4 linked regions of the Rhinolophus ferrumequinum genome follow. The protein of the gene in region 4 interacts with the protein of the main gene of each other region in a biochemical or structural test. Links are inferred from orthologs where the notes say so. Each region holds a gene or a part of one and is shown on either strand. Other genes may lie near its edges.

Region 1 (8,134 bases), on a different chromosome or scaffold from region 4:
TGGGTTTCAAATATACTCATTTGATATCTCTCCATAATATTTTCTTCTGGAATACAGTATTAGAAAAGTGTTAAAATAGAATGAGCAGGAAGACATATCTTGAAAATAGAAACTGAGAAGGAAAAAATGAAATCAGTTTCTCTACTGGATCCCTCAGCCAGCCACCAGGTGGTAGGCACAAGCATAGCATTAGAGCTGCAGTGCAGTGAGGTGGGGCACAAAACAACTCCTTTCTGACTTTTTTGTTAAAATAACCAGAGTTGGAACTTGTGTTGCTGATAATGAACAACATCTAACATTAATATCAGCTACATTCCTACGGGAAAATTAGTCCCATTTTTCTTAACTACTCCAAAGGGGGAAATTCTGGGGGAAAACAATAGGAAAAACTATGGCAGATGTTCTTTTTTTAAATAATGATAATAATAATAATAAACTATTATAAAATATTCAAAGGAATTAATAAAATGTTTACACTAGAGACCACCTATGTCTTTTCAAGCTCTTTTTCATTTTAAATCATACTTTAGGAAGACATTGATGTAAAATTAGTCAGTTTATGCTATCTATCTGGTAATAGCACTGCTACTTGCAAAACAAGCAATCCAAGGTGTACAGAGATTGCCAAAGTGGACTCATTTATGTTAGGGGAATTAGCATGGAGCTGGGAGACCATGAAGAAGTTTGCCTTACACGGTTCTCCATAACCTTTTGAGCTTCTCAGCCATGGACTTCTTTCTCACCATGACAAACTGATCATTTACATTCTTTACTTTGAAAGAAGCTAACCGCTTTGCCAACCAGCATTCTTTGTTTGCATGTTAAACTCAACCAATCCCAGTTAACCTACCCAGAATCCTTTATTTACATAAAGAGGGCCAGATTGAGAACAGTACATGTAACCTGAGCCTTTATTAAAACTGCATTTCTTTGTTTTTCCTTTAGCTTAGACCTCTTTATTGTTTTACACTAGTTAGCTGATGGCAGATATTTTTAGTATAAAAAAGTACATACAATGGAATTTCAACTCTATTCATATACCTGTACTTTATAAATAAAGGCTCAAGCAAGGTAAATACACTACAATGTTCATCATGGCCATTTTTTTAAATGCTAAAGAATAAATATCTTAAAGTGTGTGGTCCAAGAATAGCTCTGATTCTAAGAAGCATATCCCTGCTTTCAAATGGTGGGGGGAAAGGCCTTGTATGACACAGCCTGATTCTGCGTTAGCACGGTGAAAACAATCTAGGTTTCAGAGTTGGAAGATCCAGATCTGAATCAGTGTTTTTCTACTTTTAGATGAGTAGCCTTGAATATGTCAATGATATTCTTCAGAACCTCTGTAAAATGAATTTCAAAGTATTCAAATCAAGACATAAATGAGGACCTAGAAAAATTTCCTTTTATCAGTATGATAAAAATGATATACCAAAAAAGATAAGAACTTTTAATGTAATTGTAAACTGAGTATTTAAGTAAATTGTTTTTTCTGAGACCTCAATTGTCTTCATCTGTAAAGAGGATATAAATAATGAGGACTTATAAGACCTTTAATATCATAACTTATGGCCCCAAATTTGGAGATTTGCAGCTTGAATTCTGAAGTTGCTTAGAAGGCATTGAAACCGGAGGGCAACCGAGTCCGGGGTTTTATGCTGCCTTCGCTGCTCAGGCAATAGACCGACACAGGAGTTGGGCCATAGAATAAGCGTTTATTTTCAGAGCACCGGTGGTCTGGGAAGGCAGCAGGTTAACACCTTCAAAAATTGCCTTAACATTCTCAGACTGACTTGGGTATTTAAGGGAAAATCGGGGCGTTCGTCTAAAGGCTATGTGAGGGTTGGGATGGGGTCTGCATGGAGCCTTCCCTCTGGCAACGTGATGCTCGATTCTGCAGTGGTGTCAGCAACCCAGAAAGGATGATGTCTGGAAAGAATGATGCTAGACCATTGAGACTGTGAGCAATAAGCCTAAGGATATTAATCATAAGTTTCAGGGTAATTTTCTAAAACGGGGAACTGGGTGGGACGGGACATTCTGAGCTCAAGCCGCAAAGAGATGATTTATTGTTAAGCTATAGGTAGGTGAAGGAAGGTGAGGCCAGGGACGTGGACAGGCCTCTACTACTGGGGTCCCAACAGGGCCCTGCTTCAGCATAACTTTGCCCTTTTGGGGCTCCGAAACCACCTGTAGAGCAAGAAGCTCCCATGTAGTGATTGTGTTGTTTGAAAAATGGTACCCCCTGTGCGGTTCCTAAGCAACACCCCCTGTCCTGGACCTATTGACCCAAAGTCTTTGTCCTGTAAGCCTGAACTAGGACTTTGATAAATGCTTAATCACGTTACCCATTGTTCTTATCATTAAAAGTTCAGTTGCCCCCACCAATCAGAAAATGAATGATGTTTAAGTTTATAACCTTGTTTCCCTAGCAACCCTTTTTTTCAAAACCCTGTTTTCCTCTGCCCCAATGTGTCTTTGGTTCACATGTTCTCTGATATACAATTCATATATGAGTAAAACTCTCTTTTAATTTCTTTGGGAACTTTCGTTAACAATAATCTGTGCTGCTGACAAGGCTGTTGTGAAGAATAAGTGAGTTGATGTATGTGTGGAGGAGAAAGAAATTTTCCTCTACTTTCAAGGTTCTTTTGGCTGGTCTAATAATCAAATCGATTAGCAAGAGAAAATAACTAAATTTAATACATACATGGTAGGGGAACCCCACATACCTGAGAGACCCCATACGAACTTGCCACTGTGCACTTACATTGGCAGCACTGTACAAACAGCCTGGTAAGATTTCATAACCTTGGTATATCAGTGTCTCACAGCTGTGTTCATATCGACGTGTGGTGGTGTCTTGCTGAGTGGTGTTCGTTACTATTGTTGCGTGTTTTTGTGTGCTGTCACAAGAATGTCTGAGTTGGAAATAGAGCAATGAACAAACATTAAATTTCTTGTTAAATTTGGCAAGAGTGGAAGTGAAATCAGGGGTGTTAGTCCAAGTTAATGGAATAACGCCATGAAGAAAACGGCAGTGCACAAATGGATTACAAATGGATTAAATGTTATTCTGAGGGAAGAGAATGTGTCACTGATGAAGAGAGGTCAGGGCGGCCAGTAATGAGCAGAATTGACAAAAACAGTTGTCAAATTGTGCGTCAAAATCCTCGGCTGACTGAGAGAAGCTTAGCAGACCAAGTAAGAATCGATAAACAGAAAAATCTTAACTGAAAATGTTGGCATGAGAAATGTGTGTGTAAAAATGGTTCCAAATGATGAACAAAAAGCAAAGGAGAGTCGAAGTTTGCCAAGACCTTTTGGAGAGGCAGGACAATGTTTTGGGCTGTGTTATCACTGGTGATGAAAAATGGGTGTACTGCCAATACGACCCTGAAACAAAGCATCAAAGTCAGCCAATGGAAGTCAGCCAATGATAGATGACCAAAATAGTTCTGTCAGTCCAAACCAAGAGTCAAAACCATGTTGCTAACCTTTTTTGATATCAGAAGTATTATTCATTATGAATTTGTATCAACTGGACAAATAGTTAACCAAGTTTACTATTTGGAAGTGCTGAAAAGGCTACGTGAAAAAGTTAAGACGAAAAACGATCTGAACTTTTCGCCAACAGTTCTTGGCTCTGGCATCGCGACAATGCACCAGCTCACACAGCACTATCTGTGAGGGAGTTTTTAGCTAGTAAACAAATCACTATTGGAACACCCTCCCTGCTCACCTGATCTGGCCCCCAATGACTTCTTTCTTTACCTGAAGATAAAGGAAATACTGAAAGGAAGACATTTTGATGACATTCAGGACATCAAGGGTAATGTGACGACAGCTCTGATGGCCATTCCAGGAAAAGAGTTCCAAAATTGCTTTGAAGGGTGGACTAGGCACTGGCATCAGTGCATAGCTTCCCAAGGGGAGTACTTCAAAGTTGACCGTAGTGATATTCAGCAATGACATATGTGGCACTTTTTCTAAGATGAGTTGCTAAATTTAATTGTCCCACCTCATAGAGTCAACTTTCTCTTCCAAGTACACAGAAGGAGATATAAAAATACTTCCTTTACAAATGTAAATTTCCCTTACAAAAGGGTAACTTCTGTTTTCAAAGATTCTCCTCTCCTGTGCCTTGTTTCTCAAAATAATCCTTGTGCCAAAGAGGCATATTTTGGGGGTGGCATGTTCTGCTACCCTTCAAAACCAAAGTTGTCTATCTTTATATAACAAAATAAAACGTGCCCAACCAACCTGATTAACTGTCTTCATCCCGCCTAGTTTTCCTTCCTTCTTCAATCTCCCCACCATTCCAATTCCTCTCTCCTTTTCCTAAATCCTTGTTCCTCTTTTAAAACTTCAGAACCCATAGACCCCTTTTCCACGATCCCACTCTTTCCACAATGAACCATGAAGTGTGTCCTTTGAGATTCAACCTTTCATATTTGTATGCTTTTCCCCCAATTCAATGTAATTTCTTAGTTTCATTTTTTGACAAGTTTCAAAATTTTTTAAATTCCTTACAATACTTAAACGTGTCTGGCACCTAAATACATTATCTGAAAAAAAAAATGTTATTAAAATCCGACTCAATTTCCCTTATCACCGGAATTTCCTTTCACTACTTAACTGTTTCCACCCCAAACTACTGAATCTAAAAAAAGCATTTCGCAGACACCTAGGGGCAGCTCGCAGGTAGCCGGGCTACAGGACAGTTTTGCAGCGGGAGCCCCGGGCTACCGCCTGACCTCTCGAGGGCTGGGGTCTGGGACCACACCCGCAGCAGGTAGGGTCAGGTCCGCTTCCAGCCACGCCGTTCCTCAGTAACAGCCGCGAGCGCCTGGGGACCCCGGATGGGCCCGGCGGAAGATCGGCGAGCGGGCTTCGTGGGGCCACGGCGGCAGCAGAGTGACCGCAGGCTGCGCTGACCCACCGCCACGAAGCGACTGCCACGTCAGACCAACTTCACAAAACCTGGGCGAGGGCGGTGACGCAGGCCCGGCGGCCTGGCGGGGTTGGGCCGGGGGCCAATAGAGAAGGCTGACCTCGAGCCCCGCCGCCCCCTTCAGCGACGCCCCGGCCGGCGCCGGCGCCTGCCAGGCCCTCAGGGAGGCGGGGGAACAGCGGAAAAGGCGGCGCCATCGCGAAGCCCGCGCCTCGCCCGCACCCTCACCACCTGGTCCACAGTCCGGCCCAGGGCTGGGCGGCGTCTGCGGAAGCTCCCTCTGCCTGGCGCAATCGCCCCGAACCGCTCTGAGACCGGGGCACCAGCGGCGTGGAGAGGAGACGGCGGCGGGTAGGGCGGCCGGAGCCGGGACAGCGACCAGCCATGGAGACGCGCTACAACCTGAAGAGTCCGGGTGAGCAGGGCTGGAGGCGGTGGGCAGCACTGTCGGAGTGGACTGGAGTGACCCTGGACTCCGGGGCCCGGCGCTGCGGTCCCCTCGCGTCCGCCGCGACTCGCGGCTCCATTCCCGGTGTCGCGCTCTACGCGAGACCGCCGCCTGCAGGGCTGGTGCAGGCCGCAGGGCACGGCGGCCGGGCGGGCACAGTCGGCTGAGTCTGGGGACTGGCCAGCGCTCCGCAGCACCCGGACTCTCCTTTCCCTCATCTGCGTCGCGTAAGCTGGGTTATAAACGCATCCCTAAGAACAGGTGCAAAGGTGATGATGTCCGTGAGTAATAGTTAACAGCCCCTGGCCGGACTGCATCCTGAACACCGTCGTTATCCCTTCTCCGAAGCTGCCACTGGACTCCTTAGCTGCTTGACTCACCCGCATTTGAGGATTTAGTTGCTTAAATATCCCATTTGCAGCATTTGGAGCTAATAGAATTACAGACATAAATGAAATGTTCTGTACTAAACCGGTTAGCCAGAGAGCTAAGGAAACTAGTTGAGTCGTGTACTTTAGAGCTAACCTGATTTTTTGTCATACTGACTAATCTGATTATATATATATTATATATATTATGTATATATTGTATATTATATACATAATATATATATATATGTGTGTGTTTGTATGTATGTGTGTGTGGGTGTGTATATATATGTGTATATATATATACACATATATATACATATATATATATATTTAGTCATTGAAACTTCTTTTCCTGTATTTAATGTCCCTGTTTCATTCACAGAAGCAGCCCAAACAATCCTAGCCTCAAATTCTTTTCTAGTGCATTATAAAGATGCAGGAAAAGTAATCAGCTCTCAGATTAAGGCAGGCTTGAAATGAATCATTGTGTTCTATAAATGGTATTTATTCTATCTGTACCTTGATAAATTTGTCAGGAGGGAGAAACTCCACAGTTTCGTTCTAAATGATAATCCTAAAATATTAGAGATGGTTTGACCAACTCTTGCTGCTTATTATTTTTTTCTTCCAAAAAAGCAGCTTCTCAGTAGGAATCTTTCCTTATGGAAAGAGTTCACATTGTGAATCTTTGATTTTTTTAAATACTTAAGAATATGCAAAGACTCCAGAAGAGCCTGAGGATATTGATTGAACAGAGTTTGTTAACTTGAGTGCTGTCAGGCTAAGAAATGTTAAGTGAACAAGTATGTAGAATTGGTCATAAAATTTGAGGGGGCCATAAATTCCTGTAAGAATCTGCTAAAGGCTATGATCTATTTAAAAAAACATTTATACAATTCAATTTCAGTGGGTTCACAACTTTCCCCCTCTAGCCGATCTCTTAAGAATGCCAGGGGGAAAAATTAAAGCGAAAGAGAGAAGGAAAAACTTAACTTTAAGGTTAGATGGTAGAATGGTTAAATTATTTAGATTGTGGTAGATTTAAATAAAACGGGGAGGAGGGTAAAAATGTATGGTGACTTCTTGGTCACTTGGTACCAAGTTCCTTAGGATACCTGAGATAATGCAAATGTAAATGCACTATCCAGAGATAATGCAAATGTAATAGTACAATTTAGAGTGGAGATTGTCAGGACATTCCTGAATTTTACAGGTTATAATACCTGAGATTGTGATAAACGTTTAATATTCTCCAGAATTTTGTACGTTTCTGAAGTATATGACCTGCAGGCAGGCTGAGTTTTGGTCAACATGCTTCTAGCTGTAATAAATTGCTTCCTCTTTTTGGTTTCAGTTCCTCAAAGGTGGTGTTACTGTTCTAAAACAGAATTTTTAAAAAATCTTTTTTTGTTTTTGTGTGGATCATTTTGAGTTCATGGAGAAGGTGAATTAAATGTGATTTGGGACTTATTGAAAAGCTAGGAGGCATAGTGAAAATGCTTCCTTACTTTGTTTTGTTGTTCAGTCCTGTGATATTTTGGGAGTAATGTATATGTAAAAGGAAGTAGTTAAAAACACTGCACACTGTAAGATAAGAGATACAATCCTTTTTCTCTCTGTCTCATGTGGAGTTGCCTTAGAAGTATGGATGGGACAATTAAGACAATACAGGTAACTGGTTAAGGGTCATTGTGCTAACATGTGGATAATATATACGGATAACAAAAGACGAATACAAATCACATTTGACTTTTGCAATTACAAGAGGTGCTCAAAGTGGTTACCATCTGCTTCCAGACACTTCTGATTATGGCGAACTACTGCTTGAGCAACGTTGACCAAAGTGTCCACTTGTATACATTTTTTTGGCACCGCCGATATAATCAGTCACTATTGTCACCAGGTCAATTAAAACAAAACAAAGCATGATTAAATCACTCCTTAAATTGAGATGTCTTCAGTAGCTTCCTCATGGCTGTGGATAAAGTTCAAAGTAAATAAACCGTTCAGCTTGGCCTACTGGGCTGCTCTTGATTTGATCCTTGCCTTCCCCGTCAGCCTCACCTTCTACCACTCCTATGCTCCTTTGCATTTTCACCAACTGTCCATTCTTCATCCACTGGGGAGCCTGAGTGACCCCCCAGATGGAGCTCTTCTCACCTTTATGTCTTGGTCCCTGTTGGGACCTCTGCTTTGAATGCCTTCCCTTTAAGGCAGCTGAAATTCCTATTAACTCTTCAAGCTTCTTTAAGGCTCAGTCTTGTTCAACTTCTGCAGGCAGGCTAACGTAGTCCCTATATTTGTATATACTTGGTCATTGTATTGTGATTGTTCTCATGTCTTTCTCACTGTGCGTATTTT
Region 2 (7,778 bases), on a different chromosome or scaffold from region 4:
TTTTAAATGGCAGTCTAATTGCCTTCAAGAACTATCATTCAAAATAGACAAAAAAGTTTAACTTAAAATAGTTTATACTAAATGTTGAAGGACTATGATTTGATAAAGGAGAACAGTAGAGAAAGTTCTGTGCCAACTTTTAACTGCAGCTGTAGTGGAACACACTAAAAGCCTTGTTTTAAGACAAAAGCAGTGAAATAAAAAACAATGGTTTTAAACCTATCACCAGTGTTAACTGCTCATGACCATAAGTTTGCGTTTCCAATGAAGGATTTTGAGATAAAAGGCCATATAATAAGGAAACAAGTGGAAGAAAATGAAATTGAACGAAATTCTCACACAAGACTAAAACATAAAACTGTAATTTTCATACATTTTTACATATCACAAAGGTAAAAAACTCAAAGATAAAGAAATCTAACACAACAAAATTGGAAATTAAACCATTCTATTTAAATAGGGCTGAAATTAATAAGCTTTTAATTTAAATCAGTGTAGGCTACAGGGAATCCTCTTTATATACTATCTACTCCAAACTGAGAGGATTCTCCACACTCCTTTCACATTTAAGCTAAAATATTACAATTTGAAAAGTTGTTTTTTTTCAAACTCCATTGGAATGAGATTATTCTAACTAGACTGTCAATTGCCCCAAACAATGATACTTTTTGGAAACTAAACTTCATTCCACTAGATTTAGCCAGTAAATTTTGCTAAATAATCCTTTGCTAGAAGTTATATAAATTCCATGTTGTGAAACTAATTTTTTCAGTATCTATAAATAAAAATTTATACTTGACAAAAGACATTCCTCAACTAATAACTTGTATATTTAGTGATTTTAAATATCTGCATCTGAAAGCATAGTGTATCGTGACCACAAAAGATGAGACATACAACTGGTAAGGGTACTGCTATTACACAATATTCTAAATAGTGCTTTTAGTAGGTATTCAGTGCCTATCACAGGCATAAATATTTAACATTCCCCTATCAATTCTTCACATTTTCTACTAAGTTGACCCAACTTCAAGCCTGAAACTGAGGCTTCTACCTTTAGAAGAGAAAAAAACAAAAGTAATTGGGTAGTCCTAAATATACACACCATAACTACATGACTTAAGATCCTCATTTAAAACTTTTGCCAAGATAGCCCCTCCCTTCAAAACAAACTACGATTGACTCACACTGCTCTATTTGACTTAACTTTGGAAATACAAAAATTAAATGCTTTCCTAAGAACTCATTTCCCTCGGTCTCTGCATACACCATTTAAAACATTCAACCTTCAATCTGATCCATCCCTTCCAAAATGGTAAAAAACAAAAACAACAACAACAAAAAAAACACAACACCTCAGTATCTCTAAATTATCTACCATGGAATAAAAAAAAAAATACACCATATTCAAGAATAATAACCACCGTTCTAAAGTCTTGGAAAACAATGGAAGCAATGTCTGTGGTCGCTGTCTGCGGAGCCGTCCTACTCGGTGAAACCATTTCACCTCAGATGATACTTTTAATCTGTGAGACCACCCCATTTTCTAGAGTTAACCACCTGAGCAAAGGGTTTCAATTTCGTCTCACTAAAGTGGAAAACTATCAATCACCCTACATAATAAGTTCCACCCTCTAGATATTTCTACATGTAGGAACAAAACAACAACAACAAAGCCAGTAAAGTTGGTGGCAGGGTGAGGACAAAGAGCATTTTGAAACACTACAGAAGTAAATAGAGAATGAGGACAGAAAGGGGGCTAAATTAAAGTTCCCTCAAATGAATAAAGGAAAGAAAACGCAGGTACCCTTGTTTACCACCCCTAAGCCCCCATTCTTCACTACCGCCCACTGGAATGCAAAGTTGGAACTACCACTCCGTCAGAAGCCCATCAAATCCTCAAGATGTCAGGTCACCAGGCAGCCTCTGGAATGACAGGCTAATACCCCTCCCCCCACACCCCCCAAAAAAGAAAGGTTCAATCCAATAAGTGCAGGTCACTCTGCCCTCTGGGGCAGTTCCAGCCGGCGCAGGGATGGTTCAGATGGGAGGACGAGAGGGGAAAGACAGACCACCTTTCTTCCCTTACACCTTCCGCTGAGGAAACAAAACAAAGACAGCCGCCCTCCTCCCCAGGTCGCCTCTACACTAGCCAGAGAGGCTTTCCTATTTCCCGGTGCAGTCTAGCCTCCCGCCCCCGCCCCCATGACAAAGAAAAGGCACTTGGTGAGCAAGGCCTTCCTGCCTCCACGAGTGGGGGAAGGGGCTGCCGAGGTGAGGAGCCCCCTCCGCTAACCCGCGCTCACACTCGCTCACCCTTGGCCCCGAAAAGAGCCAAAAGCGGCTGGGAACAGAGGCCTCCGCCGGGGAATCCTGGTCTAGGAGGGGATGGGGGTACCTTGAAGTAGCCGCCTTCATAGAGGGTGTTGGGGGGTCCGAAGATGGCAACCTCCCAGTTGTAGAGGTCGGACTCATCCACCAGGGTGATCCGGAAGCCCTCCACCGGTTCCTCCTGCAGGGATTTCAGCTCTAGCATCAGGGCCTTCTGTGAGCTGGTCATCTGCTGCTGGGCCATCGCGGCTGCGGCGGCGGCAGCGCCGGGCCGGGGCCCCAGTCCTCACGCACCGGCCGAGCCGGACCAAGCCCCTCCCCTCCGCTCGCGCTCGGGCCGGGCCGCACCGGGCCCTTGTCTTCACACACCCGGCGGGCCGGACCAGGCCCCAGACGGCCCGTGGGCCGACCCGGGTCCTCCTCACACACGACGCGGGCCGGGCCCTCCTCCTCACACTCCGGCCAGGTGGGGGGAGGGGTTCAGGGAGTTAAGAAAATTCGCTCCCGGTCCCGGGCCTCCCCCCCCCGGAGGGGGCCTCAACTTAGGGGGGGGGGAGAAGAGGTGGAAGCCCAGGAAGGCGGCGAAGGGCAGGCGACGGTGAGGGGAGGGGGGCAGGCCGGCCCGGGAGCGCCGCGCTCGCTCGCCCTCTCGTTCTCCTCAGGGGCCGCCGGAGCCGGAGGGTGCGCGGGGCCGAAGGGCGGGGGGAGCGCAGTGATCGGGGGTCTCGCGGCGGCAGCGGCGGCGGCGGCTGCGCGTGGGGAGGGGCGACAGCGGAGGAGGAGGAGAAGAGAGAGAGCGCCTCGCGCCGCGGGAGCGACGGAGCGGAGAAGAACGAGGGAGGGAGAGAAGGAGGAGGGGCGCACGCCGGGAGGGGGGAGGCTCTCGGCGGCTGGCGGCCCGACGCGCTTGCGCGCGCCCCTCCCTCCCCCGCCCTCCTCGCCCTCCTCCTCCTCCTCCTCCCACTTCCCCGCCTCCTCTCAGTGGCCCAGCGCGGTGGCGGCGCTTTGTGACGCCAGAGCTTGTACCCCGCCCTTAAAGGGCCGAGCAGCTGTAAGGGCGGAGGGTAGCCTCAAGGGATGCCCTTGGCCCCAAAGTGACGGTTGGATGCCCTGGTTCCTTAGGCGCGCCCGGGAAGGGACCTCTGGTCTTAGAGCCATCAGCGCCCTCCTACCGCATCCACAGGCCTCCTCAGCCATCCTCCCAGGAGCCCTGGTCCCCTGCAGGCCCCTCCCCGTGACACACAGTCCGCTGTCCCTACACTCTGCAGATGCTTGACAAGGATGTGCTGAGAATGTGGGCCTTATCGGTGGGAACAAGCGTCCTGACATCTCTTCTGCAGGTCCAGCCCTCACGCCAGTGTGTCTTTGGAGGGCAGTGTGTGGCACCCATTTGGGGGAGTGGGTGAGGCCAGTTTCCATTGAGAAATGCGGAAGGCAGATAGGCCAGCTTTCTACTTCCCTTCTTAACTACAAAGAGGAAGCTTGTGGGAAATAGAAAATAATAATACTGATTGAACCAAGGTTCCTGGCCCTTCTCTCTGTGATTTGAGGCAAGTGCTCTGGCTATCCCTCAGTTTACCCATTTGTAAAATGAAGTACTGTGGGTGAACTTTGACCCCCTACAGAGCCTTACAGCTTGAAGGTCCAACCTGGGATTGAGGGACTTTTAAGATAATCATGGCTGAAGTGAGATGTGGAGTCTTCAATCCCCGTGATTTAGATAGACTGCCCCTTTCTCTTAGGAAAGCATGTCCTGTGATAACTGTCTAAATGTTTTCTATTATAGAAAAGCCAACATACTGTGAAAGTTCCAGAATTGGGGGATCAGAAAGATCCTTTGTTCCAACCCTGGCTCCACCATTTACATTACCTCTTCCTTTTCCATCAGCTTCTGTAAAAGAGGGTTAATTATATGTAATATAAGCAATTGTAAAGATTAATTGAGATTATCTGTACACAAGGTTTAGCACAATGACTGGAACATGGTAAATGATCCATAAGTAGGAACTTTAAAGGAAGAAAAATAATTTAAAGGCATAGCTGTATTCTGGATGTGATCCCTCCCACTGTTTAATAGACTTTTTCACAACAGGTTTAGATTTCTAGAAAAATTGAGAAGATAGTACAGAGAGTTCCCATATTTTCCCATAGGCACCCAATTTCCCCTATTATTAACATCGTACAGTAATATAGTACATGTATTACAATTATGAATCAAAATTGTTATTAACTAAAGTCTTTACTCACATTTCCTTAGTTTTTACCTAATGTCCTTTTTCTGTTCCAGGATCTCATCCTGAACACCACATTATATTTAGTTTTCATGTTTTTCACTTTGACATTTTCTCAGACTTTCCTTGTTTTTGATTACCTTGACAGTTTTGAAGAGCACTAGTCAAGTATGCTGTAGAATGTCCCTCAATTAGGATATGTGTTGTTTTTCTCATAATTAAACCAGGATTATAGGGTTTTGGGGAGAAGATCACAGAGGTAAAAAAAAACAAAAAACATTTTCATCACATCATATCAAGGGCACATAATGCCAACATGCCATCAGTGTTGATATTGACCTCACTCACCTGACTGAGGTAGTGTATCAGGTTTCTCCATTGTAAAGTTACTCTTTTTACCTTCTTTCGATACTGTACACTTTAGAAGGAAATCTCTATGCACAAACCACACTGAAGGAGCCCTTTCATTTTTTTGTTCTTTTTTTCTCAGAAGTGAGGTTTCAGTATTTTAATGAATCATTCCCTAGCGCCCAACTCTATTCAGTAGGCCTTGAGGCCAAACTCCACTGGAATTAGAGCTCACTTCAGAGAAGGGGGACTGTTTTAGTAGTGCAGCCTCACCTCCCAAAATGATGGTATGTGACTGATTCTGACTTCCTCTCCACCAGTCAATTTAGGGACAAGAAGATTGCTGACCTGGAAACGTGGGAGATGATGTTGACACCTTTAATAACAAGACTGTAAATAGACAAATAGGCAGAAAGTTCATCTTCAAAGCATTTCACCCACATAAACTCATCACAGCCCCACCCTGACCCAGAAGTTGGTAGATCCTTAGCCTAACCCACTGGAACATAGACCTGGCACCCAGATCAGAAGCTGTGCCCTGGGCTCAAATCAACTCACAAACTCATACTAAATATCCACAGTGGGCATGGCCCTGAGCTGGGTGACTAATAAACATACACCTGTCTAGGAGGCTCACAGCCTAGTGTGTTACTAATGCATTGTGTACTTAAGGTCCTACATTCTTAGGTCAGAGGAACTAGAATTCCACAGAACTTGTCTCATGCCTTTTTATCCTAGCAGGTAAGACAGTGTTTATTAGTAGGTTGCGACTGTGTCTTATTCATCCCTGGATCCTGAGCAAACAGCACACGTCTGACATAAAGTAGACACTAAGTCATTGTTCTCATGGGCTTGCAACTAAGGACAGGAAGACAATCATTAACAAAACAAAACAAAACAAAAATCCCAAATTGGGCAGCCGGTTGGCTCAGGTGGTTAGAGCACAGTGCTCATAACACCCAGGTCGCCGATTCGATTCCCAGATGGGCCAGTGAGCTGCGAACTCCACAAATAGATTGAAAACAACGACTTGACTTGGAGCTGATGGGTCCTGGAAAAATACACTCTTCTCCAATATTCCCCAAGAAAAATTTTTTTAAAAACCCCAAACTGAACCCCACCTTCCACCTCCATGTTTTATAGGATCTCTCAGACACATAGTAGGTGCTCAAGATTATAAATTCCACAAGGATGACACGTTTTATTCATAACCATATACAAGCTACTACAATGTTTGGCAAACAGTGGGTACTCAAAACATGTTTGTTAGAAGAATGAATGGCAGAAACAGCTTCCTAGACCTTTCTCACATTGTTTCATAATGACAAGTAGAGATTGACTTTGCTGATTGGTGCCCTCTGGTGGTAAAGAAAACAGGATATTTACTCTAAGCACAGCATCACCTGATACTCTACAACCAGGGCTCTTTTGAAGAATCTATTACCTTTCTCGCAAAGAGAAAAAATAAAGGAAATCTTAGTAAGATAAATGAGAAGGACTGGTATTTGCTTTAGAAAGATTCTGACCTTATAGAATGACTCTGTTTAGGGGGCCAACATTTTTTTCATTCTGCATATGTTAACTAACACATGTAAATCTTGAATAGTGCACTTAAGGAGCACTAATCTTCCTTTAATAGCAACAGCTAACATTTGCTGTGTATCAATATGTGACAGGCTCTTTATATGCAGTATCCCACTTAATTCTCACAAAAATCTATAACATGGCTATTTACTGAGTATAATAAAGCTTAGAAAGGTTAAGAAAGTCACCCAATGTCACTCAGTGAGTAAATGGCAGAAACTCAGGTTGAACCTTGGTCATCCCACTTTAGTGTGACTGCTCTTAACCGCCAAGCTGTAATGTTCCTCATCTAACGTGCCCACAGCAATGTGTGCATATCATAACACCCCAGTGCTATACTACAATTATTTGTTTACATCTTTCTCCGAGCATCCAAGGTGCTCTTAAGAAAGAGACATTCATTCACTCAACAAATATTTATCGAGTGCCTGCTATATGACAGACCCTGTGCCAAATGCCAAGAATACAATAGTGAATGAAACAGAAATGACTGGGCCTTACCTCATAGAGCGTACATTCTAGTGGCTGAGACAAAAATAGACAAAAGCAAGTAATCAATAGACAAATAATATTGACAGTTTCACTGAATACTATTGAAGGTGATTAATGGAGGGCCTAAGACTGAAAATGTTGGGGTGGATGCAATTTTAGATGGAAGCAGGGCAGGGGCAGAATAAATCTCTATGAGGTTACATTTAAATTAGTAGAGGGACCAGCTTGTGAAATGTGAGGGCAAGAGTATTATTCTAGGTCTCTGGCTTGTGATCATGTCTTATTTATCTCTTTATCCTTGACACTGAACACAGGGCTTGACATTAAGTGTCATCCAATGTGGAATGAATGGTTGACTAATCTCTCAGCTCTTTGTTCTTCCTCTGGCTTCAATGGTGCTGTTTCCTCCTCTCAGTCAATTCAAACTCAAATCATGTTTCAAGATTTAGCACAAGCCCCATCTCCTCCAGGAAATCTTCCTTAACAATCAAAACACTCTTCAGCCAGGAAGAGGGAAATCCTGCCATTTGTGACAACATGGATTAACATTAAGAGCATTATACTAAGTGAAGTAAGTCAGATAAAGACAAATACAAATACTGTTATCATCTCGCTTATATGTGAAATCTCAAAATGCCAAACTCATAGAAACTAAAAGTAGACTGGTGGTTGCCAGGAGCTGGGGAGTGGGGGGAGAGGAGAAATGAGGTGATGTTGGTTAAAAGGCACAAACCTCCAGTTATAAGAGGAATAATTTCTGAGGCTCTAATGTACATCATGGTAACTATAGTT
Region 3 (7,487 bases), on a different chromosome or scaffold from region 4:
AGATTACAACTTGCTTTATTGCAATAGTCATTTTATTGCAGTGATCTGGACCGAAACCCACAATATCTCTGAGGTATGCCTATACATCAATAACAGGTAACAAATCTGGGACTAGAAAGGGTTGTTTGTCTCTAAGTTCTATGCTCTTACTGAATCATGCTGCTTTTGGGGGGGTTGGTGTTTGCCCAAGGAGCCTGTTACAGAGGTACTGTGGAAATGACAACAATGTAGGAGGTGAAATCTTCCGTCCTTGCTACTGTGTGGCCTGCATTTTCCTGCGCTCACACTGACTGCTTCTGTGGGGACAAATTGTAACAGGGTTACGTGGAAATGACTTGAAATGAGTTTTAAGCTTTTATGTCTATAGCAGCCAGGAAAATGCTAATATTATTGCCCTTAGAGGGGCCTGGACCCAAGATCTCAGATGCCAAGAACACCAGCTCAAATGAACCTATTTCCTGCTAGAAATGGTCAAATGGAATCAGAAGGCCTTTTTGGGAGGACTTTCACATTGGGTGGGGTCAGTGATAAATGCGCTTGGTTTTAATGCCATTGGGTCAACAGGTACCTTCAGACACAGAGGCAACTTCTGGGCTCTTCCACTCCTCCACCAATGATAGGTTTTCATCTTACTCCCTCTTTGTGCCTTGCTCAAAGCATTACATTCTCTCCAAACTTACGTTCTTGCCTTGGAGAAGCTGCTCCTGAGATCAGAGGCTCCCCTGGTCAAGCTTGGCCCTGCCCTGGGGTGAGATAAACAGGCCCAAATACATTTCCCAGATTGCAACACTGGTGAGTCAGGCAGGGTCGGACAGCTGTTCCCTCACCGCGTCCCTGGTCGTTCCTGATAAGGAAGAACATGGCTCATGCCAGCGTGCTGCCGTGTGTGTGCACATATAAACAGAAACTCCCAGGCCCCAGTGTTGTCTTAGAGTAATTATTGACCTTCTGAATGGCTGAACATTGGGGAAAAAAGGTGAGCGCAAACTTACTCTGCGCCAGAGGAGTTCTAGGTTTCACAAGCCAAAAATAAGTAAAACCAGGGCTGTCATTTGACACCACTTGGGAACCACCTTTTGAACCTACCTAGCCAAGGGCAGGTTCAGGAGTCCTCTGAAGCTTTGGGAAGAGGAGGGGGAAGGTTGCAATGGAGGGCGGGGGAGGAAGCCAGGAGAGAGGAGATGGATTTATGAAGGTGCAAATGGCAGAATGCCCAGAGAGAAAAGGCGTATTGTAGAAATGCGAACATACCTTCACCACAAAGAGAAGGAATTGACGCTATGACATCTTTTAAAAAACACCAAAAAGAGCGAATTCCCTTTTCCTTAAATGACATACAGTGTATAAGGAGTGGGGCAAATGGGCGGGGGTTGATATTAATAATACAATAATACTGCCACCAATATCATATTACACCTTGTAATGAACACTTCATGTTACCTTTATGAAAAGCAATTTATAGTTTACAAGGGGTTTTCCCATTCATCTTTCCATTGACTCCATCAGCCTACTGAAGTTATGAGCCACATTTTACAGATGAGAAAATTGAGGCTCCGGGAGGATATATGCAATTAACTGAGGCATAATTAAGAGCTGGAGAGGGGCAGGTTTGTCCTAAGTAACCCAGAGCTAAGGTACTTACTAGACACACTAGGAAGGGTAATTCCTTTTCTATTTCCCCCGCTTTCTTCCGCCTCCCCTCCCACTCTGGGTTCAAGCCATTGTTTCTCAGTCTAGTTGTGTAGGACACAGCTCCCTGGCCCATGCTGGTATTAGGAGCCTTGCGCTCCCTCAGGCTGAGGCAGTTGGTCGCCAGTCATCAGTCGGTGGCCACCAGCCGCTCATGGCAGCACATGGTAGCCCAGGGGAGCCGACAGCAGCACATGGCAGCACACGGCAGCACACGGCAGCCCAGCTCCAGGGAGAGCCGTTGTTCACAGTATTAGCTGTAGAGGGCGCAACTCAGTGGCCCATGTGGGAATCGAACCAGTGATCTCGGCCTTAGGAGCATGGCGCTCCAATCATCTGAGCCACTGGGTCAGCCCCAATAACTCCTTTTCAATGACTGCCTCGGAGGGCTAAATCTCCCTTGCATTTCTAGGTAGAACAGCCCTACCTCCTCCAGTGTTGTCCAGAACAAGTTTCTCCAATTAAACACGCCTCTAATTAGTTTTGCTTAGTACTTAGATCACAGTAGCATAGCATCTGTGAGGATTAAAGCATCAGGGAAAATTTCTAGATCCACCTCATGCCCTTCTTTCTTTAGTGTCCCATCCTTGACTCTTTCTAACTGTTCTGGAAGCAACACCTTTGGATGCTGTAAGCTTGCCACCTTGCTCTCAGGTGGGGAGGAAACATCCTTATTTGCACAGGACACTATGGAAGCACAGGACCCAATTTGAGGGGTCAGGGTGGTGTTTTGAAAGTGCCCATACCTACTGGAATCGTCAAGCAGTGGTTGTCAAACTTTGGCCTGCATCAGAATCATCAGGGCAGCTTGTTAAAGACATGGACGCCCAAGTCCCACCCAGACCTTCTGAATCAGAATCCCCACGGGTGGGGCCTGGAAACTTGTGAACTAAACAAGCTCCCCCAGTGATTCTGAAGTACACCAAAGCTTGCGAAGCACTGTCTGAGCATGGAAGCGGGAGTTACTCAGATGAAGGAGAGTGGAGGGCCATACTGGGTGACAAGGTAGCAGCAACAGAAGCCCAAAGAGCCTAGAGGAGACTCAGTCAGGAACGATTTTCTGCTCCATTCTTATCTTCCTTTAGCAAAGTGGTCAAATAAAGGGAGTTAGAAATTCCTTCGTTCAAGTATGTCCTCTTCTGACAGAATTGCTATGTGCAGTAGGAAAAAAACAATGCACCACCTTCAGAAGCAGTTAAAATAGTCTATCTTTTTCAGAAAGTAGAATAAAGGTTACCGGGGGCTGGGGTGAGTGAGGAAGGAACAAGGAGTTACTGTTTAATCGGTACAGAGTTTCTGTTTGGGGATGATGAAAAAGTTCTGGAAATGGACAGTAGTGATGGTTGCACAACATTGTGAATGTATTTAATACCAGTGAACCGTACACTTCAGAATGGTTAAAATGGCAAATTTTATGTTATGTACATTTAGCTCACACACAAACTAGCTGGTCATTTTGAGGGATGGAATGATGGGAGCAAACACCGTTCAACTTTAGCTGATTGCCGTGTGTGTGTGTGTGTGTGTGTGTGTGTGTGTGGTTACATAAGGGGACTGACAAAGTACTAGTGGATGCATACATAAGATTTTTGAAAATGGATGGCAGTGAAAATGTGGTATAAATATAGAGATGCCTAAAACACTCTTGCCTGCCCCTTTTGCCTGGCTGGTTCCTGGGTTCCACATCCCTTTTTTTGGAGCGCCTTGCAGAGCAGTGTCTCTCAAACTTCACTGCTCATAGAAGTCACCTGGGGACTTCCTTAAACTGCAAATTCTAATTCGGTAAGTCTGAGGTGAAGCTCAAGCCTGCATTTCTAACAGGTTCCCAGGTGATGCTGACACTCTAAATCCACAGACCACATGGGAGGGCTGTGCAAATTTATAGAGTCATTCTTAGTTCACCATGATATCTGTATGTCCAGCAGAGTGATCAGTACATAGTAGGTGCTCAATAAATATTTACTGAATGAATGAGTATGTAGGGTTGGTATAGGAATTTGGAGGGCAATCTTTGTCCTCAACTACAGCATATGTAAGGTGTTTCTGCTTCTGTCAGTCATTCATTTTGTGAAATTACCTCATACTCTGTAGAGTAAGGATGTGGGTACTAAATTATGTTTGGCCTTGCCGCCTTGCTGCCTCAACGCTAATCCTTGAAATAGTGGCCCTATCTATATACGTGGAGAATAATGAATCCTGGTTTGCAAGCTCTGAGGAAGCCTCGCTATAGTCTAAAATCGCTGTAAACAAATTCTCTCCATCTAAGGAGGTTAGATTGTAGGGAACCTGCTGGAGCCGGAAATTTCCAGATTTTGGTGCCTGAGTAACAGCCACCTTGGCCTCCTCAAATCAAATAAACAGCCTTTTTAACAGTGTGTGAGAAGGAGGTTCATTACACTAAAACACATGAAAGTAATAATATTGCCATTATTTACTATTATCGTTTATGATGATGATAACGACACTGGCAGTTGAGCGATTGTGTGGGAGAGTTGGGGGAGGGGGCCCAGGGCCGAGAAGGCAGGAGAAAAAGGAACTACATCTCCCAGAATCCCCGACGAAAGTCCACGCCGCGGCGACCCACCCCTTTCGCCCACTGGACCCGCCCTGCCGATGACGTCACAGAGGTGACGTCACGGCGCCCAGAGCGAGGCTAGGGTAGAGAGGCCGACTGAGCTGGAGTCGTCCGCTGGTCGTGGAGGCTGCTAGGGAGCCAAGAGAGGGTGATCGGGCGAGCAGACGAGAGAGCTAGAGCAGGCAGGAGGGAGCGTCGCGCGGCGCAGAGTAGCGCCGGGGCTGGGCCGCAGCGGAACCCACAGTCGGAGAGGGGCAGCCCGAGCCGGGCGCCGCGGGGTCCCCACCCCCACTCGGCCGGACAGTGCCGGGTGTTCCCCGTGCGGGGGGCGGCGGCTGACTGGACCGGACAGGACCTAGAGGGTGTTGCCACCTCTAACGAGGAGCCGGCGCGTCCGCGGGCTCCGAGGAGCCGGGGCCCGGGGCCCGTGACAGACCAGCGGAGGAAGGGAGAAAGGCAGCGGCGGCGGCGCAGGCGACGGGGAAGCAGCGGCGACACCATGTCATCCCCCAGTCCGGGCAAGAGGCGGATGGACACAGACGTGGTCAAGCTGTATCCTTCGTGGAGGGGGGATTCAGGCTGTACGTGGGGGGCGGTGTGGGGATGCCCAGGGCACCCCCCTGAAACCCAAGCGAGGGCCCTGGGGCACTACAGGGCACTGTCCGAGGCTCCCTCCCTCCTACCAGCGCCTACGGCGGCTCCTTGGCACCTCCCATGACCGAGAGCCTTTTCAGCTCCCCCTTTATCTGCAGCACCCCGAAACGTGCGTTTTTCCTCGCTCTTCCTGCACCCCCAGTGCTCATGACTTTCCACCACGACGTTTGGACTCCCTAAACGGCCCCCCCTTTTTTCTTTTTTCCAGTACCAGCCACCTCTCTTCACCTACGAGCCCACCTTCAGGGTCTCTCTTTCCTGTTTGCTCTTTTGACTTTAGGGACTCGAGATAGAAATTCCGGAGAGTGAAGCCTTTTCTCCTTTTCTTGAGATGCCTCCCTTCCCTCCACTCACAGTGCTTCTTGAACTGGGGTAACTCAAGTGACCTCCTTTATCCCTAATTCCTTTCTATATTAGGAAGAGAGTAGTTTGCTCAGTGCCCCCTCTTGTAAGTGATAAAGAGCTCTGAATGTTTTAAATCAGAGACCCCTGTTAAGCTTTCTGGTGCCTAGTAGAACCTCACTGTTTTTCTTTCCACTGACAAAGCCTGTCCCACCCATAGTTATATGTGGCGAGGACCCCCAGGCCCTCTAGCAAGCCACCCTCCATATTATGCATATGACAGCGGGGGGAGGGAGGGAAAGGATTTCCTTAACAAAATAGCCCCTGTACTATGCACTTGAGCAAACACCCTTTATGAGGATAAGGTTCTTGGGGAATAATTGCCATGATCTTGCCAAATGACACCCTTTATTTTCCGACCCCCCCTCCCCCAACTTTATGTACTCTGGAGGTAGCAGTGGGAAAGCTGTAACTGATAAGAGTCCGTCAGGCAGTGGTTTTGGTTGGAGTCCAGACTGATTATTTCATGACCAGCTAGAGAAATTCGCGAAGGTTCCTGTGACAAATCGAGAAATTTTTTAAGGAGTAATTTAGAGGGTGGGGGGGAGAGAGGAAATGAGCCCAGTGTTCTGGACAACTAATCACTGGGGAGAGGGGGAAACGTGTAGGGAGTGGTAGTGTGTGAAATGCAGTTAAAAAGTCCTGTCTCTTGCTTCTCTCTCCCTCACCCCCATCCCCCCACCATTTCCCCCTTTGCAGGGTTTTGTTTATATAACTCAAGTTGTTTGGCTAGATTCTTCAGGTGAATTCCTTCTTTCTTCCTTTTGTTACTGTTTTGATTGGACATTTTACCTCTTTGTAGAGATCGATGATTGTTGTTAAATAGTCAGTTATGGAATTTGCTAAACTTTTAAACAAGTAGTTTTTGCATTTGGTTTGGAAGTGGGGGATGGGAGGGAAGTTGACTGGGCAAGAGATTTTTTCTTTTTATAATCTTTTCAGGAATAAGAAGGTGTTTTTTCTCCTCACTCAGGAAACTTGGCTGGAAATTAGGAACAGTAGATAAACTTCTAAGTTTAGGGCTTGAAGTTTAGAATTTGGGGGAGGTAGAAGTGAGGAGCAAGTAATAAAGTATATATTACGTACCAAACATATATCCAGGCACAAGTGAAATGGACTTTTTATGAACTGTTTGTGGCTCTGATTGAGTTTTGTAAACGTGTGAACGATACCAGTAATGTTGGCTTTTCATAAGGTTGCAGGAAAACTTGTAACTATGGCTGTGTGTACATTTCACACAAAGCAGTTTCGGGTTTTATTTTTGTTTAGAAACTAGGAAATGACAGGGTGGCAGAATCTGAGTTATTTTTATCTTGAATTGAGAGTTAGTGTCACACCTAATGCAAATTTCTACCTAATGTTTAATTAGGATGGGGGTGGGCAAGAGAATGCCAGCTGTTTTTGATCAATGTCAGATTCTCAAATTATATACATACATATTTTTAGAAGATTGAGGATAAATAGTGAGGCCTAACTTGACCTGATGCCTTTTCCATACAGTGCCTTTTGTTCATTTAGTAGTTGTGGCATCTAGAATGATTACCGCATTTAGGAGTCGGGTGTGGGGGGTGGAGAGGGAGAGGAAAACAGACAAAGAACAGCAGGGTGTCTTTCTTTTTTCTTCCCCTAAGTGGCTTATTTCATAGCTTATTTTTAGTAGAAGATGAAGAAAGGCAAAGATGCTTTGGCCTTCTGTTCTTTCCCCACCTTCCTCCTTTCTGACAAAAGAAAGCAGAGGCGCTTTAAAAATCATAGATCTCTGAGATATGAGATAGGAGGACACCAGTCTCACGATTTAACAGGCACAGGTTATCTTTGTTTCGTATTTGTTATTTTCTGGGCTAACGTAGTTTGGAAGTTAACATTTTTGTATTTTCTTTTGTGTGTGCATGTGTGTTGTGTGGGTGAGATTTTTGTGGCCTCCTTTCTCTGTTGAATTCACACTGGTAGGCCCAAATGGAGCCAACAATTTTTAAGCAAGGTATATTTAGCAAAACATTTAAGTAAAAATTTCCCAACCCATTACTAAAATGAGTACAATAGTGTGAGAGGGCTGGGGGTTGAAAATGAAAGATGGTGGAGAGGAAGTAGAAAAGGTCTGAAGGAATGTACTTGCTTTTTGCCCCTCAGTGCCCCTTGATGATTTGTTTGGTGTGGAGGCCGATAG
Region 4 (7,752 bases):
GCCCTGTCCCTTCCAATGCATCCCGAAACCCCGGCCAAGGCGCTGAGAGAGGCCGTTTGTTACCAATGCCGGTTCCCCGGGTCGCGCCGCCGCCAACTCCTGTAGGAGACGAAGCCAAGCCACCCTCCTCCTTCTCCTCCTCCCCGCCGCCTGGGCCGCCTAGAGTCGTCGCCGCCGCCTCCGCCGCCTTCTCCTCCCCCGGCCGTAGTGGTTGCGCTCGTCCCCGTAGCCTCCTTCACCTCCGCCGCCGACACAAGATGGCGGCTGCTGAGCCCAAGGCCGGAACAAAACCTTGGGCCCTACCCCCAGGAACCCGGATGCAGGCAGACCGCGCCCATTCATGAATCATGAATGTTGATCCCCGCATGTCAGGGACTCATTTGAAGAGGAATAGCTCCACCTGGTGGCTACTATGGCACTAACTAGGAAAACCAGGAAAGCAGAGGAACGTGAATAATGAATATATTGCTGCAGCCAGGCTGCCATGGAAACCAAGAAGGGACCTCAAGCCCACACTTCCTGATCATGAATTATGTATATGCCCAGGTGGTTGGTTGACCAACACTCTGCGACCAGAAAGCCAACATGGAAGCCACGCCCCACTGTCATGAATAATGAATGATCTTGCAGCAGCCCGGAAGCCAAGGAGACCAAGGCTACATCTCTTATGAATAATGCATGAGGCCCCGTGGGCTGGAACAAAAGGGGCAGGCCCACCTATTACAGCATCTAATACTCTGTAACCTGGGAAATAGGGCTACTACAGAAAAAATACCCTACCCGGTTCATGAATAATGAGTAACAATGTTGCAGCAGCTCAACCTGGAAACTCAGAGAGGTCAAGAAAGGTCCCACCCACTCATTATGAATTATGCATGAGACTGGATGGACAGCCCTCCCAGCAAGTAGGGATTAGGGTAATCCAGCCCTGGCAACATGGGCAAGCCTTCCTGTACATGAATAATAAAAGCCGATGCTGCAGAGCCATGGCGGAAACCCAGGGGAAGTGTAGCAGCCGCCTCCCCACCCCTGACTAACTGCACGTGAAATAGGGCTGCCTTGTTCCAACCAAATCCAGACGCACTACATGCCTCTGGCAAGTGCCTCAATTTCCATGACTGTAAAATGGGGATAGCAAGAGAACCCATCTACCTCATAAGGCAATATATTATCAAAATCAGAGAATATGAATTATGGATGAGCTCAGTGTAGTGCTGGCACAGGGCACTGTTAAATTTTAAAATATATATATGTGTATATTACTATAAAGGTAATATGTAAATATATTAATATAAAATTAGTTGTGTGTGAGCGTATTCGCAACCACTAGAGAAGCCCCCCAACTTGGGGCATTATTTAAAAAATAATGCCTTCAAACACCCTCCCAGAAGGACACTGGAAAACAGAAAGCTCAGGCCACCAATATCCATTAAATAGGTAGGACTGACTGCCAGATGAACCCCAAGCACCGAATACATTTCTGTCGAATAATAATAGATCCCATTAACAGATGTGGTGTCTCCTTTCCCGGCATTGTGCCACTGATCTCAGGAATGCAGAGCAGGAAATCGATTTCTTCTTGTCCTTCTTCTTGTCCTTCGGGTCTCAGCTCAAAGGTGACCTCCTTAGAGAGTTCTTAAACCCTCACAAAAATCACTTCCACCTACCGATGACTAGCGCTGTGACCTGGGGCCAGACATTTCACTTCTCTGGGCCACTGCTTCCCCACCCATAAAATGAGAATAGTAACCTACCTGATGATGGATTTTAAATGAATAAATATGTAGAAAGGGCTTAGAACCGTGCCTGGCACATAGTTCTATTTAACTAACAGTGGTAGTACCATTAAATTAGGGGGTACAGACTCTGGAACTAGACTGGCTAGGTTTGAATGCAGGCTCGGCCACTCACTGACTGGGAGTAGGCAAATTACTTACCCTCCCGGTGTCCCAGTTTCCTCATCTATAAAATAGGATAATAACAACTTACCTCCTAGGATTGTTGTGGGGATTAAATGTGCTAATAAAGTGCTAAATTAGTGTAAATTAATCTGATCGTCATCATGCCCATGCCCACTTTTCAGGCTCACGGAAAGATTTGACAAAGATCACACGGCTTGGAAAGAAGACGATTTGAATCTAGATCCTTTGTTGATAATCTGAGATTACTGAGCTTTAAGAAATGAACCATGCACGAGGTTTAAACCCTGGAGCCTACAAGGCAAAGCTAACAGTGTATCATGCAGATGAATCCATAAAAGCTACGCCCCTCATGAATTATGCACAACGCCCCTAGAGAAGCCACTGACAACTTGGGTGCTACTCACCTTTACGATTAATCAATGAGGTCTAGTTTGCCCGGCAAACTGTAGAACGCCCCTTCAGCACGCTGATCCGCCCCATCGTGAATAATTCACAAGCCGATACTTCCAGCGGACCAGGTGCGAAAGAGGCAAAAAAATGGGCTTCCTCATAGCCCCACCTCCTCATGAATAATGAAGAAAGCCGCGGCCAACGAAGGCCGGGTGGCACCCAGTACCCTCGGGAAGCGCGTAGCAAGCTGTGCTCCGGCGTCCCTTCCACAGCCTGGGCTGGGGGCTCCTCTCCTAACAACTTGTGGGCTCTGACCGGTCCAGTCTCCCCGCCCCGAGTAATCAAGCACGGGGGGGGGGGGAACCGCATCATATAAGCAGAGGTCACAAAGGCCACAGATACCTTCACAATGCCACGTCGGTCCTGAACGTTCCTACCGTGGTCAGGACCTCTCCTGAAAACAAGCCCTCTCAAAATTCCGCCTTGACTTCAGGGACCTCAAACTTCGCCTCTCCCCTTGGGAAGCACCCCAAATCCTGCCTCATGGACAGAGTACTCATTCATGGACCATAAGGGTCTCCCCAAACATCCCCCTAAACCCTGTCTCCGAGGGGTATATAAACCTTGTCTCCAAGGGATATTTCCTACAACAGATTCCCACATCCCTCCCCGGAGTCCCCAAAAGCCACTTCCTAAGGGTCCCTCAAAAACAGCCACCCCTAAAAGCCATCCCGGGCCCAGAGCCTCCAAATATGCCCATTGGGGGATCCCCGAAACTGAGCCCCCTCCCTCAAATTCTGTCCAGGGGCTTGGGGGGCACCGTGCTCCAGCTCACCCCCTGCGCCGGGCGGAAGCCTCGCCTTCCTGCTGGAGATGAGCCGAAGCCACGGGGCAACGGAAGAGCAAACCACCTCCGTCGCACAAGAAGAGCCAGAGTTTGCGCGGAGCTCGGAAGCGCGGGGACTTGGAGGGCCCCGGTTTGGGACGTACCACAAACGCTTAGCTAGAGGGGCGCCCGCCCCTGCTCCCGCGCCTTCGGCAGAACGTGTCAGACCCAGACACCCCTACGGGTTGTGGTCCTTCCTGAAAGCGCGAGGCATGCTGGGGGTGGTAGTCCGATCTGGCCCCCGGCTGGTGCACGTGGTGGGCATCAGCGGCCAGGGTATGGGAAAATGTAAACCTGGGCTGTGGAATTCCGGGAGCGGTGCTCTGGGAGTGAGAAAAGGGAGCGGAACACTGGGGTACCTCCAAATGGAAAGACACACCCATCCTCCAGATGGGAAGGCTGAGGCTCAGATGGCCAAAGGAGTTCATTCATTTGACATTTATGGAGCTCAAGCGGTAGGTCAGGCGCTGGGGATGCTTTCTTGCCTTCACGGAGCTGACATTCTAGCAAGAGAGACAGACCATAAACATAACACATAAGTAAAAATTATAGCTTCGCATATAAATATGTATTAAAATAGATACATGTGACTATATAATATATATTATGTAATACAATGTACATATAAATACTACATAGTTTACATAACATGATAGCTAGTGTCAATATGTAAATAATTTACATCTGTATATAATAAATGTCTTACATTTAATACATCGTGTATATTCTATATTTGCATGTGAATATATAACTAAATATATATGCAAATGTGTGTTGTATATATAATTCCTAAATGCTATGGAGAAAAATAGAACAAGGTAAGCAGAAATTTGGGGGACAGTGGGGTCAAGGAAGATGTCACGCGGGGTGTCATGCGGAGTCTCTGGTCCCGCTCCCCACATATGAACACAGGACCCGGTGAGGCCAGAAAGGAAAACCCACGGAGCCATAGATAGGGGAGTCATACCACTATAGTCTCACTGGAGGCTGGATTCACACGACGTGCGCTTTTCTGCCAACCGACCGACTCCCCATTTGCTAGCTGCAATCCGCCTCTGCAATCCGCAATCCACACTCCGCCGCTTGGTAGCTCAGCCACCATCTTCTTGCTAGGCCCTATTTTTCTGCTAGCGTAGCCACGGCAGTTATATTAGTGGCCAATGGCTCACTGGTTACAGCTGACGGCCAACTAGCCACAGCTGATGGCCATCCAATCACAGTTGATGGCCATTTACTACCTGAGCCAGCACCTTTCCACGTGAGGCCGAGAGCCTGGAAACTGCACTCCTGGCTCTGTCCCCACAGAAGGCCTCGCTGAGAAGATGTTTGAGCGAAGGTGTTTAACACAAAATGCCTTTAACATCTTATCCCAAATTCTGTACCTCATATCTTGTCAACAACCTCCAAATTTGTTCATTTGAAAAAGATTTATTGAATGCCTACTGTGGGGACAGAGTCCCAGAGAGCAGAAGGCTCTCGACCTCATATGGAAAGATGCTGGCTCAGGTAATAGATGGCCATCAGCTGTGACTAGTTGGTCATCAGCTGTAACCAGTTAGCCATTAGCTACTAATATAACTGCCTTGGCTACGCTAGCAAGAGGGGTTGGTTGGTTGGCAGAGAAGCGGACGGCGGATTGAGGCTGGCAAGTGGGGTTAGCAAGCGTGGTGGATAAGAGGATTGCAGATCGTGTGGGTCCTACTTCCTGCATCTCACTTGGCTGCCATTGAGACTGGGGTGCAGGAAGACCCCCTTGGGGTACTGGCAGATGTTTGCTTTTGTGTCTCGACCAGCTGCCATCGAGAATATAGTGATGTGACTCCCTTATCTGTGGCTCTGTTGTTCCTTTTTGGCCTCACCGTATCCTGCATTCTTGTGTGGGGAGTGGGAGCTGAGACCCTCCATGACACTTACTAAGTGCAGAGCACTGGGGACACTGCAGAGAACATAACAAGGAGACTGCCCTTGCAATAGTCAAGACCTCTCTTCCATCAGATCTTTTCCTTATTTATCGTTTGCCTCATCTCAGAGAGACCTGCCCTAATACCTGTGGGGACAGAGTCCCAGAGAGCAGTTTCCAGGCTCTCGGTGTCACGTAGAAAGGTGCTGGCTTGGGTAGTAGATGGCCGTCAGCTGTGGCTAATTGGCCGTCAGCTGTAACCAGTTAGCCAATTAGCCACTGATATAACTGCCACGGCTGCATTGGTGAGTTGAGTCAGTCGGTTGGCAGGCAGAAAAGCGGACAGCAGGTTGCAGGTCGTGTGGATCCAGCCTCCAGTGAGACTATAGCGGTATGACTCCCCTATCTATGGCTCCATGGGTGTTCCTTTTTGGCCTCACCATGTCCTGCGTTCTTATGTGGGGAGCGGGTCTAGAGACCCCGCAGGCCACCTCACACGACAAATGGTGCAGCGAGCAGGGTCTCCCGCACGACATACCCCATGTAAAGTAGTCAGGGAATGCCTCTCAGAGGTGGCATGTGAAAAGTGAGGAAGTGAACCACAAGGAACATGGGGAAAAGCATTCCGGATAGAGGAGACATCCAGTGCAAAGCCTTGAGCTTGGAAGTTCTTAGCATGTTTGAGGAAGTGCGTGGAAGTCTTTGTAGCTGGAAAGCAGTGAGGGAGGGAGAGTGCTGTGAGATGAGATCCTAGGCCATGTCAAATAGGGCATTGCAAGCCAGGCTGAAATGTTTTTTATTCTAAGATCCATAGGAGCCATAAAAAGATTTTAAGCAGGAGAGTCACATTATATAAATTAGATTATATTTTATTTATTTTTTTAACAGGATTTTATTGGTGAACAGTGTGTACTTCCAGGACTTTTTCCAAGTCAAGTTGCCATCCCTTCAGTCTTCGTTGTGGAGGGTACAGCTCAGTTCCAGGTCCAGTTGCTGTTGTTAGTTGCAGGGGGTGCAGCCCACCATCCTTGCAGGAGTCGAGGAGTCGAACTGGCAACCTTGTGGTTGAGGGCACCCTGGCCTATATGGGAATCGAACCAGCAGCCTTCAGAGTTAGGAGCACGGAGCTCCAACTGCCCGAGCCACCGGGGCCGGCCCCCTATAAATTATATTTTAGAATAAACAATCTGGCTGCTCTGTGTGGTGAGAGAACAAACTGTAAGGGGAAAGGGAGAAGCAGAAAACTCAGTGTAAAGGCTACTGCAAGAGTCAAGGAAGTGATGAGAGAGGATCAGACCAAGGTGGTAAAAGTGGAAGTGGTGAAGTGGTGAGGAAGGATTAGATCTTGGATTGATTTTGAAGGTAAAGATGCCAGGATTTGCGAAGGGGTCAGATACAGGGAGATACAGAGAGTCTTGGCTGACCCCCGGGTTTTTAGTCTGAGCAGCTGGAAGGATGGAGTTGTCATCAGCTGACAAGGGAACTACTCCATTAGGAGCAGGTGTGGAGCAAGATCAGGAGTTTGTTTTTAGATGTTACATTTGAGATGTCTGTTAGACATCCAAGGTCTGGTATGTGTCCGTTGGGTGAACAGTTGGGGACCAGGTCTGAAATTCAGGGGCTGGAGGGAAATCTGGGCTGGAGATATGAAGACCATTAGGGGTGACAACTGAAGCCATGTGTGTGGCCAAGTCCTTCTTTGAAGAATTGATTGGCTTCAAATGGATCAGTGGGAGTAATTGAGGCAGGATTTGGACTTTCCCAAGTGAGAGGGAAAGGCATTCCAGTGGGAGGGAATAGCTTGAGCAAAAGCATGTGGAGAAAGTAGGGGGGGACAGTGGGGGCCGCAATAGTTGTACCATTTCACATTGCCTCCAGCAGGAAAGTGCCTTTGGATGTTTGCCAATCCTGTGTAATTATAATTTGCATTTTCTTCCTGGGAGTGAACTTAAACATCCCTTCATAAATTTAAAGGTATTTGCAGTTCTTTTCTGGGAATTCATGTCCTTTATGCATTTTCTATTGGATGGTTGTACTTAATAGATTTTTAAGGAACTGTTTATTAGCCTTGTTTTAAAAAAATGGAGGCTTAGGGTGGCTGGTTAGCTCGGTTGGAACGTGGTGCTAGTAACACCAGGGTTGTCGGTTCGATCCCTGTATGAGCCACTGTGAGTTGGGCCCTCCTTAAAAAAAAAGAAAAGTAATTGCAGTTTAAAAGGTTAAAAATAATTGCAAAAACCGCAATTACTTAAAAATAAATAAATAAATAAATAAAATAAGTAAAAAAATAAAAATAAAAATGGAGGCTTGGGGACGAGAGTGATGAGGATGAGAGTGATTCAAACAGTTGTGGTGTGTGACTTATTCATGCTGCCAAGGTCTGTTATGTGCCAAACCCTGTTGTAGGCATTAGGGACACAGTAGTGAACAAGATAGACAAGTGATAGACAAAAGTACCTTCCCTTGTGGAGCTTTTATTTTAGTGAAGGAGACAAGCAATATAGAAAAGTAAGGAAATACACAGTAGTATGTTAGAAATTGAGAAGGTGAGAAGTGTTATGGAGAAAAGTAAGACAAGGAAGGGGGCATAGGGAGTGTGGCAGGGGAGGCCTTGGAATTTGAAATGGGGTAGTCAGGGCAGGCCTCATGAGGGA

The links.
Region 1: the proteins of UBA1 (region 4) and UBE2J1 form a complex in vitro, tested with the Homo sapiens proteins (2 studies listed by BioGRID, with this or other methods). The link is inferred for Rhinolophus ferrumequinum from reciprocal best matches to the Homo sapiens genes UBA1 and UBE2J1.
Region 2: of the proteins of UBA1 (region 4) and UBE2R2, one has a biochemical effect on the other in vitro, tested with the Homo sapiens proteins (5 studies listed by BioGRID, with this or other methods). The link is inferred for Rhinolophus ferrumequinum from reciprocal best matches to the Homo sapiens genes UBA1 and UBE2R2.
Region 3: of the proteins of UBA1 (region 4) and UBE2H, one has a biochemical effect on the other in vitro, tested with the Homo sapiens proteins (3 studies listed by BioGRID, with this or other methods). The link is inferred for Rhinolophus ferrumequinum from reciprocal best matches to the Homo sapiens genes UBA1 and UBE2H.

The regions. Positions count from the first base shown.
Region 1 is NC_046286.1:46,026,343-46,034,476, reverse strand, and holds the start of UBE2J1 (ubiquitin-conjugating enzyme E2 J1), read left to right. Parts: upstream 1-4,693; 5' UTR 4,694-5,338; coding exon 5,339-5,369; intron 5,370-8,134. UniProt on the Homo sapiens protein: Catalyzes the covalent attachment of ubiquitin to other proteins. Functions in the selective degradation of misfolded membrane proteins from the endoplasmic reticulum (ERAD) and is essential for cells to recover from ER stress.
Region 2 is NC_046295.1:50,521,154-50,528,931, reverse strand, and holds the start of UBE2R2 (ubiquitin-conjugating enzyme E2 R2), read right to left. Parts: upstream 3,167-7,778; 5' UTR 2,576-3,166; coding exon 2,399-2,575; intron 1-2,398. UniProt on the Homo sapiens protein: E2 ubiquitin-conjugating enzyme that accepts ubiquitin from an E1 ubiquitin-activating protein, and catalyzes its covalent attachment to other proteins by an E3 ubiquitin-protein ligase complex.
Region 3 is NC_046309.1:16,520,123-16,527,609, forward strand, and holds the start of UBE2H (ubiquitin-conjugating enzyme E2 H), read left to right. Parts: upstream 1-4,315; 5' UTR 4,316-4,763; coding exon 4,764-4,816; intron 4,817-7,487. UniProt on the Homo sapiens protein: Accepts ubiquitin from the E1 complex and catalyzes its covalent attachment to other proteins. E2 ubiquitin conjugating enzyme that transfers ubiquitin to MAEA, a core component of the CTLH E3 ubiquitin-protein ligase complex.
Region 4 is NC_046284.1:86,707,641-86,715,392, forward strand, and holds the start of UBA1 (ubiquitin-like modifier-activating enzyme 1), read right to left. Parts: upstream 3,288-7,752; 5' UTR 3,148-3,287; intron 271-3,147; exon of another isoform or gene 64-270; intron 1-63. UniProt on the Homo sapiens protein: Catalyzes the first step in ubiquitin conjugation to mark cellular proteins for degradation through the ubiquitin-proteasome system.